Linked DNA regions of Caenorhabditis elegans. Changing the gene in region 2 together with the main gene of any one other region gives a genetic interaction. Each region holds a gene or a part of one and is shown on either strand. Other genes may lie near its edges.

Evidence for each region. A genetic interaction does not mean that the proteins touch.
Region 1: of gtl-1 (region 2) and cnnm-1, changing one suppresses a phenotype caused by changing the other (phenotypic suppression), as found in Caenorhabditis elegans (one study listed by BioGRID).

What each region holds. Positions count from the first base shown.
Region 1 is NC_003282.8:17,203,089-17,208,901, forward strand, and holds the start of cnnm-1 (Metal transporter cnnm-1), read right to left. Parts: upstream 3,758-5,813; 5' UTR 3,718-3,757; coding exon 3,559-3,717; intron 3,549-3,558; exon of another isoform or gene 3,528-3,548; intron 3,190-3,527; exon of another isoform or gene 3,169-3,189; intron 3,132-3,168; exon of another isoform or gene 3,111-3,131; intron 2,920-3,110; exon of another isoform or gene 2,899-2,919; intron 2,877-2,898; exon of another isoform or gene 2,856-2,876; intron 2,829-2,855; exon of another isoform or gene 2,808-2,828; intron 2,660-2,807; exon of another isoform or gene 2,639-2,659; intron 2,506-2,638; coding exon 2,405-2,505; intron 2,018-2,404; exon of another isoform or gene 1,997-2,017; intron 1,993-1,996; exon of another isoform or gene 1,972-1,992; intron 1,730-1,971; coding exon 1,450-1,729; intron 1,325-1,449; exon of another isoform or gene 1,304-1,324; intron 1,264-1,303; exon of another isoform or gene 1,243-1,263; intron 963-1,242; exon of another isoform or gene 942-962; intron 917-941; coding exon 525-916; intron 423-524; exon of another isoform or gene 402-422; intron 160-401; exon of another isoform or gene 135-159; intron 31-134; coding exon 1-30. UniProt on the Caenorhabditis elegans protein: Probable metal transporter. Probably acts redundantly with the other metal transport proteins cnnm-2, cnnm-3, cnnm-4 and cnnm-5 to regulate Mg(2+) homeostasis. Promotes postembryonic gonad development by regulating Mg(2+) levels, probably via AMPK signaling.
Region 2 is NC_003282.8:11,255,854-11,261,892, forward strand, and holds the start of gtl-1 (TRPM SLOG domain-containing protein), read right to left. Parts: upstream 3,683-6,039; 5' UTR 3,613-3,682; coding exon 3,574-3,612; intron 3,484-3,573; coding exon 3,369-3,483; intron 3,000-3,368; coding exon 2,908-2,999; intron 2,860-2,907; coding exon 2,806-2,859; intron 2,743-2,805; coding exon 2,521-2,742; intron 2,477-2,520; coding exon 2,392-2,476; intron 2,294-2,391; coding exon 2,155-2,293; intron 1,742-2,154; coding exon 1,614-1,741; intron 1,224-1,613; coding exon 1,025-1,223; intron 983-1,024; coding exon 839-982; intron 746-838; coding exon 656-745; intron 609-655; coding exon 485-608; intron 442-484; coding exon 1-441. Other genes in the region: C05C12.5 (Phosphoprotein), read right to left, coding at 4,605-4,671, 4,718-4,939, 5,104-5,264.

The DNA of each region.
Region 1 (5,813 bases), 5.9 Mb from region 2:
ATAGTGTGGGCTCCAACTTCAAGACCTTTCCTGAAAATTTTAAAATTTAAACTTTAAAAATTTTAATTTTATTTTCTAAAAAAATTGCACCGTTTCAACATTGTATTATAGTTTTCAATTTTTTTCAGAATCGATGGCACAATTGTATTCAATTTAAAAAAAAAAAACTATATTTGTCTGGTACCTGATCCGTGAAAAGTTCCGGATTCTTTGAAAATTTGCAATTTCACAATTATTTTTCTACTTATTATTAGCTTCAATTTTCAATGTTCGCACCATTTTGTTTGAAATATAAATAAAATGCACTTATCAAAGTAGCGAAAAAAAAAATGAAAATGAAAATTTTAAAAAAACCTGTTTCAAAATGTTTTTATTTATTTTTGTTTAGGTGAATCGAGCATTGAGTAATTAAAAGACAGAAGTTTACTAAAAACTATACTAACGAATCAGTTTTAAATGCATTTAAATTTCTCACTGTTTCAAAAATTTTCTGAAAAAAAACTTTTAGAAAAAAGTTAACTAACTTGACACAAATACTCTGTGGCAAAATCTCTCCGAAAATGACAATTCCCATAGTTGAACCAATAAGTGCATAGATTCCAGTCGTCAATTCACCCATTAAAATAGAAATCGCCGAGTTTACAATGACATTTCCCAGTAAAAGTGAGCATAGCAAAAGGTTTCCTTTCTTTCGGACCGGCAAGATCTTTGCTGCACACTTTTGTTCTTTTATGGCTCCAGATTTAATGACAAGCTCCAGTTCTTGGGGTGTCAGGGACATTAAGCCCAATGTCAATCCTGAGAAAAGTGCAGATAGACAGAGAAGGAATCCAATGCATGCAATTTGAAGTGGAAGTGGAAGGAAATATTCTTTCGGTGGACGTTCTGTGGTGAGCCACGTGGAGATGTCGTCGAGCTGGAAATTTGGATTTTTTTTTATTTCAGATAGTGTGATTTGCAGAGCGCTGTAAATTATCGTTTTGAAGTTTATGTGGAGAACTTGAAACAGTAGACATTTTGAGGCGTTTTCTGTTTTCCAATTTTTGTTGTAATCGATTTTTAAACCTTGAAAGTTGATTGAAAATTTGTATGTTGTTACGTTCGGAAATCTTCAAGTGATTTGAACAATTTCCACAGTTTTAAAATAACCATTTAAGAAACTGGAAAACTAATCAAATTGCTGATTTAAAAAATTTTCGTTTCACTACAATTACATAATTAAGCAGATTTTGTAAACATTGATTTGAAAAGTTCATTTGGAAAACTGCTACTTTTTGTCAGCCTGCAAAATTTGCAAAAGTGTAACAATAGGATCCGTCTCCAAGTCCCGTATATAACGTTCACAAATTTTATGCAAAATATGAAACAGTAATAAATTATGCCAAAAATTTAGCGCGAAGTTCAAATTTCCAGTCAAAACTTATTTTCAAAACATGAACTACAACGAACCGGATAAATTTCCCCGAGCGGCGGTGATCCTGGTGCAACCTTCGGTTTCACACACATTTTATAGGCATGAACCATTTCTGGAAGAAGCTTCAAAGTCAAATGAAACGTGGCTTTATGGTTGAAGTGCACTTTGAAATGGTTCAGCGCGTCGATGACGTAGGCTGGCTCCGAGCAGTTATTCGTAAATGTCCAGATGATTTGGTGGATTTTGTCCAAATGATTTCCATAGATTACCACTTTGAACTCTTCTTCTGGAGTTACTGAACAGACGCCGTGTTTGCTCAAAAATTTTAGTTTTATAAAACCATGAAATTTCCTTAGATTTTTGGGTCCCGCCACGAAACAAAAAAATACATTGGTTTGAAAAAATTGGACCCTTTGATAAAATTTGCGGGAGAGGAGAACTTTGAATTTTTTGAGACCATTTTTACATGGTCAGAAAAGATGAAATACTCTGCAACGGTTGTTAATGTTGAAATAATTTTTTTCTAAAAATTTGACAGTACCAAACATCCTTAATTATCATGAAGAGTTGCGCATGAAATGTTCGCATACAAACTAGGAGCTTTTCAGTCAAATTTGAAATAAGAAAAAATTCAGCTCAACTCAAAATAGTTTCAAACTGTTTTCTTGATCAACGTCCGATTATTGTTTCTATTTGTGTCCCGGGTACAGTTTAACAGTTGATTATCTCAATTTGAATGGATTTAACAAACATTTGCCCAAAACAATTTAAGAAAAAAAAATTTTTGACACAGAAAAAAAATTCGAAAATAACTAGTTTTTCGTAAGATTACAGGAATTAACAAGATGTACAAATGAATAACAGAATTACTGTTCTGTACAACAACTTTCTACGCAAACAGAACAATAACCAAGCTATCTGTTTTATGATAAATTATTTTTTATTAAAAATCTTTCACGGCCACCTGGCAAGATTGTTTTAAAAACTCACTCATAACCAAACGGATCGTCAGCTGGAAGTTCGACTCTCATTCCAAAAATCGTTGGAATTTTCGAGCTCTGACTTGTGTTGTTGTTGCTCGCTGATTGGGTCTGAAAATTGAAAGTCAAGAATTGCAGAAACTCGAATAACAGTTTTTTGGCAGTCGTCAGTTTCGAAATTTTTAACCAAAAAAATCCACTGTTTCAACTAATTTTTTGAGCCAACATATAGCGTTTATTTAGTTAAAAGATTTAGGGGCCAAAATTATTGTAAAAGTCCAAAATTTTGGTAAATTACCAAAATGTTGACTGAAAATTTTGAGAAATCAAAACTTTCGGAATGATTTATCATTTTATTCGGTTATTTGAGACTCCAATGCGCAACCAATTTTTGATTTTAATTTTAAAAAATACACTGCTTCCACAATTGCTTATTAGTGAACATTAAAAAGTTGCATTGATAAAATAGCTGTAGAAAAGTTTTATTATATACAACTAAAAACAATGCATTCAACGGTAATGGAATTGCTGGACAATTAACTGTTGTTTTGTTCTAGGCTGTTGGAAACGGTAAATAATTTTTATAGCAGTTTATTTTTCGATTTCAGGAAAGAAGACACTGTGAAAAGTTTGTTTGTCTCGGAAATCCAATTTGTTCCAGACAATTTAGGATGTCGATTTTTTAAATGAAAATTTGGAATGTGAAATTTTCGGTGGCCCAAAAATCCACTGTTTCAACAATTTATATGAGCTCAAGATTAGTTAAAACAATGTTCGAAACCGTAAAATTTGGTTTTCCATTTTGATTGAATCTATTACATTTTTCAAGAAAATTTTAATTGTCTGTTACTGTGTTTACAAGACAAATATGTTAATTTTTTAAACTAAATCTCATATTTTAATTCAGACAGCGTTAGTAGGTGCATTGCTGACATGGTAGGTCCAGCACCTACCAGCCGCCTAATGGCGGTCTCATTGAGGCATGAAGGTAGGACTTATATTTTTGTTTGTGTTTTTTTCGCAAAAAACATTACTTATTAATGAATCACCCAACTTGTAACAGATTTAAAATAAATAAAAAACATTCACTGTTTCAGAAAAAATTTAAGTTCCAGTAAAAACCAAACTTTTGTTTATTGTCCTTATTCCACCGAAAAAACTCACCGGAACTGTAGAATTGTCCGCAGCAGCCGTTGTCGCCGAATCCAATATCGCCGTCACCGTGGTCACCTCATCGTCGACTCCATTCTGAGCAGCTGTCACGTTGCATTGACCTAATATGAAGAGCGAGAGAGTGAGGAGACGCAGACATGACGCAGACATTCACTGGTGACTCGTATAAGGCGGTGAGTTGGGGGATAATCTGAAAATTACGAAAATTCAAAAGATTAAGGTTTGAAGATTGAGAGAGAGAATATGAAGAGTCATTGAAACAGAATATAAAAAGTAGCCGCGAAAAAATTGGTGACCACGAAAATTTTGTACAGGGGCCCCTGTACAAAATTTTTCCTGCAGGGGGCTATGGAGTTGATGAAAATATACTAAATTTTTCACATGGCCGAGAAACACAATTTGGTAGCCGAGTTTTTCTATTTTCTCTGCCACTTCCATTAGTTACTGGGAGTTTTTGAACATTTTCAATGACCTGCGAATAGGAGAAATGATACTCTCTAAAAATATGATGGAAGTCAGGCAATTTTTTATTTTCAGTAAAAAAACTAAACTTGAAACAGCATAATTTTTTGCTCAAATTTTACGATTTTTTTTTATTTTCTTTTATTTTGAGGAAGAGGATTCGAAAGTTAAATTGAGTAATTTAAAATTTTACATTTGACATTATTTGACTTTTACATTGAAAAGCCCTCATAAAAAACGTTTATGGATATATCCGGATAACAGAAATTTGAAACATACGAAAAAATATTCAAAAAATGGAACGTATGATATAAAGGAAAAAATGCACTGTTGCATAAAAAATTATGTCTACCCAAAAATTAGATAGTTGTGAAGTTTTTCAGCAAAAAAACTAATTTGAAAAATTTTAATTTTTAACTTCAAAAACTACTGTTTCAGTCACTGTTTTTGAAGCGGAAGTCATTGAATAAATGTTAATGCTTCTCTAACTGTAATAACTGTAATATAATTTCCAAAAAAGAAACTACATGTGAAACAGAGTTTTCATTTTTTAATTTTGAAAAATAAATATTTATTTTTTAAAATACAGATTATTGTTGAATAATATTCAAACGGCTCCATATTGAAATTTTTCAATCAAAATAGTAGTGAAACTGCATATGTTTTATAACTAACTCAGTTTTGAAACAGTATTTTTATAACTTTGAAAAATTGTTTCACACAGTTTGTTTCACAAGTGGATAAATCAAAAAAAATGTTCATCGAGAAATAACATTTACCTAATTATTTGTTTCATATTCTAACGCGGAATATGATTTAAAAAATAAAAACTAAATAATGGTTTAACATAGAAATTCAATTTTCTATACACATTTTGACTTACACACTCACATAGGGTGTACTTTCTGCCGCCTCCGCCGCATGACTTATTATTAAATGATTGTAAATATGATGAATTCCGAGTTCTTTGTGCTGGTCAAACAAGGAGGGAGCCTATATATGAGGGAGATTACCTATTGACCGGTCAATTTTTGAAACTTTTTTTGAAACTATGTTGAAAAGGGAAAAAAAGTTTTATTGAACAATTTGTAAATTAAAAAAAAATTTATAGCTTCAATCAATCAAGAATGTATATAATTACACTGAAGTTATTTTTTTTTTAGCAAAAACAGTGTTTTCAGAGTATTAAAGCAACTTCAAGCCAACATTTCAATGATTTTGTACCAATATTTAACTGTTTTGACTTTGTTTACAACGTTGAAATCGACGTGTAATTTTTTTTTTATTTAGAAAATATTTTTAAAAAATGTTTAGAAATACACAAAATTGTTTTTAAAGAAAAACGTTCAAAAAATGTTCTCCCAGACCAAATTACTATTTTGACGGATCAGAAAGATGCGCCCAAATCCAAGAAGTATTAGTTATTGTAGAATTTGTGAAACAGAGAAGAAAAACATTTTTGTGTCTGCCTTGTTGTGGGAACACTACAGTTTGAAAAAAGCGTTTTTTTTTTCAAAATCAAAATTTAGAACTTTTTTCTTTCAAAAAAATGTTCAAAAAAAATCACAGTGTTTGCGTGAAGCTGAAAAAGTAAAATCAAAACAGTTTTTCTTCCAAAATAAAATAAATATTTCAAACATTTCAGCAATAACCAGTGAAGCAAATTTCCGGGGGTTACTGGTTCATAAGACACGGATTTCTTAGTGAAAATGATGTAAATATTAAAAAAAAAATTTCACAAAATTTTACTGTTTCATATTTTTTTATTTAAAAAATTAAAATAT
Region 2 (6,039 bases):
TTCCTTTGTGTAATTCGATTTGTATAGATTTCCCATCAAGTTCTCGACTAATCTTCCAACTTCGACAAGTTTTATGTGATGTTTTGAGTCAACTAACAGATTAGTTCTCAGAGTATTTTGAGGTCCTTTGTCAGTGTTATAGAGATGCTCCAGCCTTCCGTAAGTTAAAAACTTTTGCATAGAAACTCCGTTCTCAAGAAGTAAATGTACGAAATCGATACGATCATTGGAAAGTGCTTCAATCATTGCATTGTGCAAGTCTTGAGTAGTCCATTCAGTTCCATTTGCGAAGATTTCAGTTCTAGCAATGTCAGCTCTGTTCCAAGCAAGAGCCAGTTGAAGTTGTTCTGGTGGTGATAGGTTTTGACCTTTTAAAAGACATGACATGATTACGTGATCCAAATCTTCTCTCGATGATTCACCCAAACGAAAAATTGTCATCTGAAACAAACGTTGAAGAAGTTTCAACAAATCAGGAAATTACCAAAGACTTGTTTGTAGAGCATTCAACAATCTGCTTGATTAATTTCTGAGCTGTTTTCGGATCATATCCAAATATTCTTCGAACAATGTTTACCAACTGATTTCTGATATTGTCGGATAAAAATCTAAAAATATTAGAAACAATGAAGTACGACTTTTACCTAAAACTAACCCATTTTGTGACACAGCTTGATGAGCAAAAGCCAGAATATCTGCTGCTCGACCACTTCCATCACAAACAATTACGGGTATACGGGGAATACTGAAAAATGTTACTTCTATTACCGACGTGTTGATTGTTTTAAAACAATTTGAGGAATGCAATTTATAATTCACGACAATTTACAGAACATACGTTGTTACATAATCATGAACCATTTTGATAGTGAATGCTCCTCCCTCCAGTACAACACAAACTAATGGAATTGCACTTCTCTTTTTGTCGCCTTGAGCTAAATATGCTTCCAATCGTTTTCGCATTATGATTTCAGCACCATATCTGAATAATACTGTGATTTACTAATAAACTTGAATTATCTACCGGTTGACGGTTCCATTGTCGGAAAACAAAAAGTACGAATGATTATCATTGAGTTCTTTCAATCTTGTGTTATTGAACACATTTGTTGCATATGTTACTGTTGAATCTTTTCCAACAAATCGACTTCTCTGTTTCAACATTCCCCACGAAGCTATTCCAATAGCTACCACGTGATTCTTTGATGTATGGTTTCCATGGTCTAAATTTTAAAATTTATAATTTTAAGTCACAGGCTCTAAGGATGTTTTATGCTTGAAAATTTCACATATCATGCTATCAACAAATGCCTGGAAAATTCTATTGAATATAGAAAATGTATTCACCAAAAAGTGAGCCTCTCGGTATGAACATCGAGTGGGCGAGGAGGACGTCCAATTGAATAACCCAAAATAGCCCAAAAGACCAAAATTCCAAAGCTGAGATTTTTGCAAATTTATACAATTTTTTTAAAATGTGTGCACACTTTTTGAATTTTTCCAAACTTTTGAAGTATCTGGACCAGAAGCTAGAGATCTGTTCCGTACTCCCATTTTTCATTTTAAATCTACTTGCTCTTATTATTCCTATGAAGTTTTATAGTTATTCTAACCATGTAATGCTGAATCCAAATGCTTTACAACTCCTTCATCCAACCCAGAAGTAATAATCCATGCATCAGTTGACTTTGCAATCTTCATGATTCCTTTTCGGAACGTTCGTGCCAATTTCGGTTGCAGACTGCAAATATTATCTTATCATTATCATCTTCATTTATGCTTCCACTCTGTGATATCATTATTCTCGATCAAATTTTATCACATCAAACCCCAACCACCTCGGAGAATTGTGGCATTCTTCGTGACGTAAAAAACGGTAAAGGTATCAGTGAGGAATTTGGAAGAGAAGTAATTGATAGAAAAAAGGTGAGGGGTATGTCCTGGGAACGGAAAAGATTATAAGAGTCTTATGTACATTCAGTAGGTGTTAAGGGAGATTAATTTAGAACGAAAGATCAGGTTCAACTCTTATATACTGCTTTGAATGGTGTTTAAGAGAAAATTGAAAGTTTAATATTTCCAGTGAGTCTAATATTCCTGAAAATAATCAAACAAATTAAAATTTGTTTTCAAGGTTAACTTCAAACTACTCACTCAAACTTTGTTAGTCCGCCGTTTATGGTGATAATCAATTTTGGAGGTTTAAGTTTCCAAACTTTCATCATTAAATGAACAATATCTCTTGGATCCGAATCAAAACTTATTCGAGCATATTGTGCGTGGTGAGCAGTTCCTGAATTTTTAGATTAACTTTTCAATTTTTAAATATTTGAGATAATTTGGAAAAAAGTTTTTTCACAACATAAGAATAGGCAGAAAGATAAAGCATACCTTCGAATACAATATTTCCATATGCATCAGTTGGTACAATTTCTGTGTGTGATTGAATTGACCAACGACCAGGAGTTAAGTTTACCTGAACAAGCTTTCAGGAAAATAATTTTAATTCAAAATAATTACCTCATTATCATCTGCATCTGCATCCGTTGTATCTACTTCATGAATACCAGGAAGAGTTAAATGATTTAATGGATGATTTTTATTCTGACTTCTTTCCAATACTTCTTCTGTATGCTTTGATCTTTCCTTACCACATCCACATCGTTCCGAAAATCGTTGCGATGGGACAAAATATGAACATTGTCTCATTTTAAGACGACATTCTATCCAGTTTTTTCCCTTCTAAAAATAAAAATAGACAATATTTATATTTCTGTTCCACTGTATCAACTTTCTGCCACTTACCAAAGAACCAGCTCTAGTTGCGTGTCCAGAATGGCTTGTTGTCGAGTTTCCGCGCTGAACAGTACACTTTTAAAGATTTTGATCATTTGACAAAACTCAAACTTTTCTTCCAGATATGTCTGCCAAATGGAGCATATCCTTCCAATCAAACTTCTGAACATGTCTTGGAGCTGAGTTCAAGGGGGCTTTGTCAGCTGAAATTGAAAATTTATTCTGGAGGTGTTTTTTTTAAATTCCTTTTCAGAATAAAATTGCATGATTTTTATCACATTTCTGGGCAACTCGCTGCAACTTTCCAGCAACTTTAGCAACTTCAAAAATTCCAAGCGCAAAAGTTGGCTAAACTTGGTTTAAAATATGCTAAAGTCGGGAAAGAAGTTGCTAACTATATCTAAAAGTTGCAAGACAATAAATTTGGCGCTAAAGTTGCTAATGTTGTTGAATAAGTTGCGGCGGATTGCCGAGTTTCCACATTTGGATTAAAATTAAAAATTAATTAAAATTGTTAATGAATTCTTTTAAGGTAATTATGTTTCAAAAACTATAAACTTTAAAAAACCTACAACTAGTGCTTCTTTGCTTCTTTCTTCTCCTTTTTGTCTGTGTCTCTGTCTCTCTTTCACTCTCATTTTCTTCTACAGTAACACTGTTCGCTCGAAGACTTTCTGCAACTGCTTTCTGAAAACATTTGTGATGTTTTTTAATACTCAATGAGTAATATAATTATTTATGACCGATCAACATTTATATGGAATTTTAAAACCTCACATGAATTGCAGGAACTATACTTCCACGTTTTCTGTCCATTCAATTAAAACTTTTTGCTCTGAACTTTGGTATCGATGATCTAGATTTTCTGATTTTCCCAGAAGTTTTTCTGGAATAAAAATCTTTTCACAATATAATTTTTAAGAGAAAATAAATCAATGAAAAACGGTAACCAGGAAAGTAAAAGTGAGTTACCCCCGCTATTAAAGTCAAAAAAAAGTAAGCCATAGATGACAGTTGAAACATGAAAAATTGAGTGAAAAAGAGCGAAGTGATAAGAGAAAATGAGAATGAGGGAGAGTGCATACGTATTGGATTCTTTTTAATCAGAAGACGACTAAACAAATTTTTGTCGGTGATCATTTTTGATAATGAGTCGAAAAGAGGTATTCGATAGAAAGTGAGCTGCGGCCAGCAGAAATGAAAGAATACGAAAAAAAAAAAAGAAAGAGAAGAGTACACACTTTTCGATGTCTGATGATAAAACTATTGGCTCTGGAAACTACACATTTAAAGTGTTAAATTAGATTATATAAATCAATAATCTGAAATGGCATATGATCCATTGCATAGATAACATTTTCAATATTGACTTAATTTCAATTTTATGGATTTTAAGCGTTTTGTCGGTCAGGCGTTGTCTTTTTGTTTTATCATAAGGTTTAAATGATGTCTACACTTTTTAGCTTTATCAAAAAAGACAAATGATGTTTTATAAATACGAAACTTTGAAGAAGCTAATTAACTATTTATTATGTTAGCGACAACTGGCGATTATCCTTTCTGACTCTCTGCAATCTCTCAGCAGGCTTCAAATATTCCAAAATCTCCAAACGTCTTATTTTCTCGCGAATGACTTTGATTCTTCATTCGAAAAAGACAAGATCTACTTGTAAGATAGAAGTTTTTTGTTTTCTTTAAAACATTTTCAGTTGAATTTCGTCAATGTGACTTCTAAGATGATTTTCACTAATTAAAAAAAAACCACGGGAAAATGAATCTATTTATTCAGTTCATAGGATCTCTATTTGCTACAACTGAAGGATGGACATGGAAGATGAGGACGAAGAAGTTTGTTTTCCGAACAAGTCATCGATCCTGAAAAATAAAATTGATCTAACAGAATAATTTCAGAAAAACCTACAATTTCTGAACTTTTGTCACATCACTATCGTTCATAACTCTCTTTGACTTGAGCGAAGTCATGATCAGTGCTTTCTTCTTATCCAATGCCAAATACGACTTGCTCTTCACATCAATATGATTCACGGAAGAAGAAGACGCAGCGGATGATCCAGAGTATGCAGACAATTGAGGAGCAACAATACGAGGCTCCGGGGAGCATGAACGTTCCGATTGAGAAGATCTATATGAAAAGGTTTAGACACTAAGTTAGAATCAACATTTTCATAGCAAAACGTCCAATAGCTTACGCTTGACGTACAGCAGAGTGCAATAGAGCAAAAGTTATTATTCGTTCAATGCTCATTATTTTAAATATTACTGAGAAAAAAAGCAAATACAACTCACGGGGACGGAACGATAGTGCGGTCCGGCAAACTATCAGACGGCTTTGCTCCCACTGTATCTTCATGAAGATTACGAAGATGGGATTCTGCTTGAATAAGTGTTTCGTCGACTTTTTGAACAATTGCATTGAATGCATCTGTGGCGCCAAAGTATTTTGCCATCCTTTGCTGGTATTGATCCGTTTATGAACTTTGATGAGAGCAAAGCTGGGAATGAGGAAAGTCAAACTGTTTTTTGAACTCACGTAAATTCACCCCCCCCCCCTGGTCTATTGTTTTCATTTTTCTAATCAGCAGTTCACGATTTCAAAAATAATAGCAACATTAATTTTTTTTTGGTTTATCAAAATGATTATGTTTATCTTCTTGCTTGTTCCAAAATGCTTGTTCTCGCCATGCAAATTATTTTCTGCTACAACTCTACAACTCTGCTACAACAACTTTAATGTTTTAGGTCGAAAAACCAGGCGGGCGGATAAATTTTTGTCTACGTGGAAGGTTTAGACAACAAGCATGAAATGAATCTGCTCGCATGTGCAGTATCGCTTCAAATTTTTTTATTAATAGCAAAACTTTGAATAATTAGAACTCACTTTGCAGGTATCACAAGAAGCAGGCTTGCTTCTAATTTTTAATATCCAAGAGAGCGTAATAAATTAAAACATTTTTCGGTTCCTATAACATTCTTGAAACCAAGATTTTAGGAATTTCTCTATTCGCTTTTTGAATTATTTTCAGTTTATCTTCTTTAATCTCTCTTTTGTGATAACTAATCTTAAATCTTCTCATACTTTGGAAAATATATAAAAGTGTTTCATATTTGGACGTTTCACGTGATCTTCTTTATTCTAATCTCCCCTTCTCATTCTAGTCCAAGTCAATATTTTCATTATTTCCTCATTCTTCGTTATTATTCACTTTTGAAAAAGTTCTATCC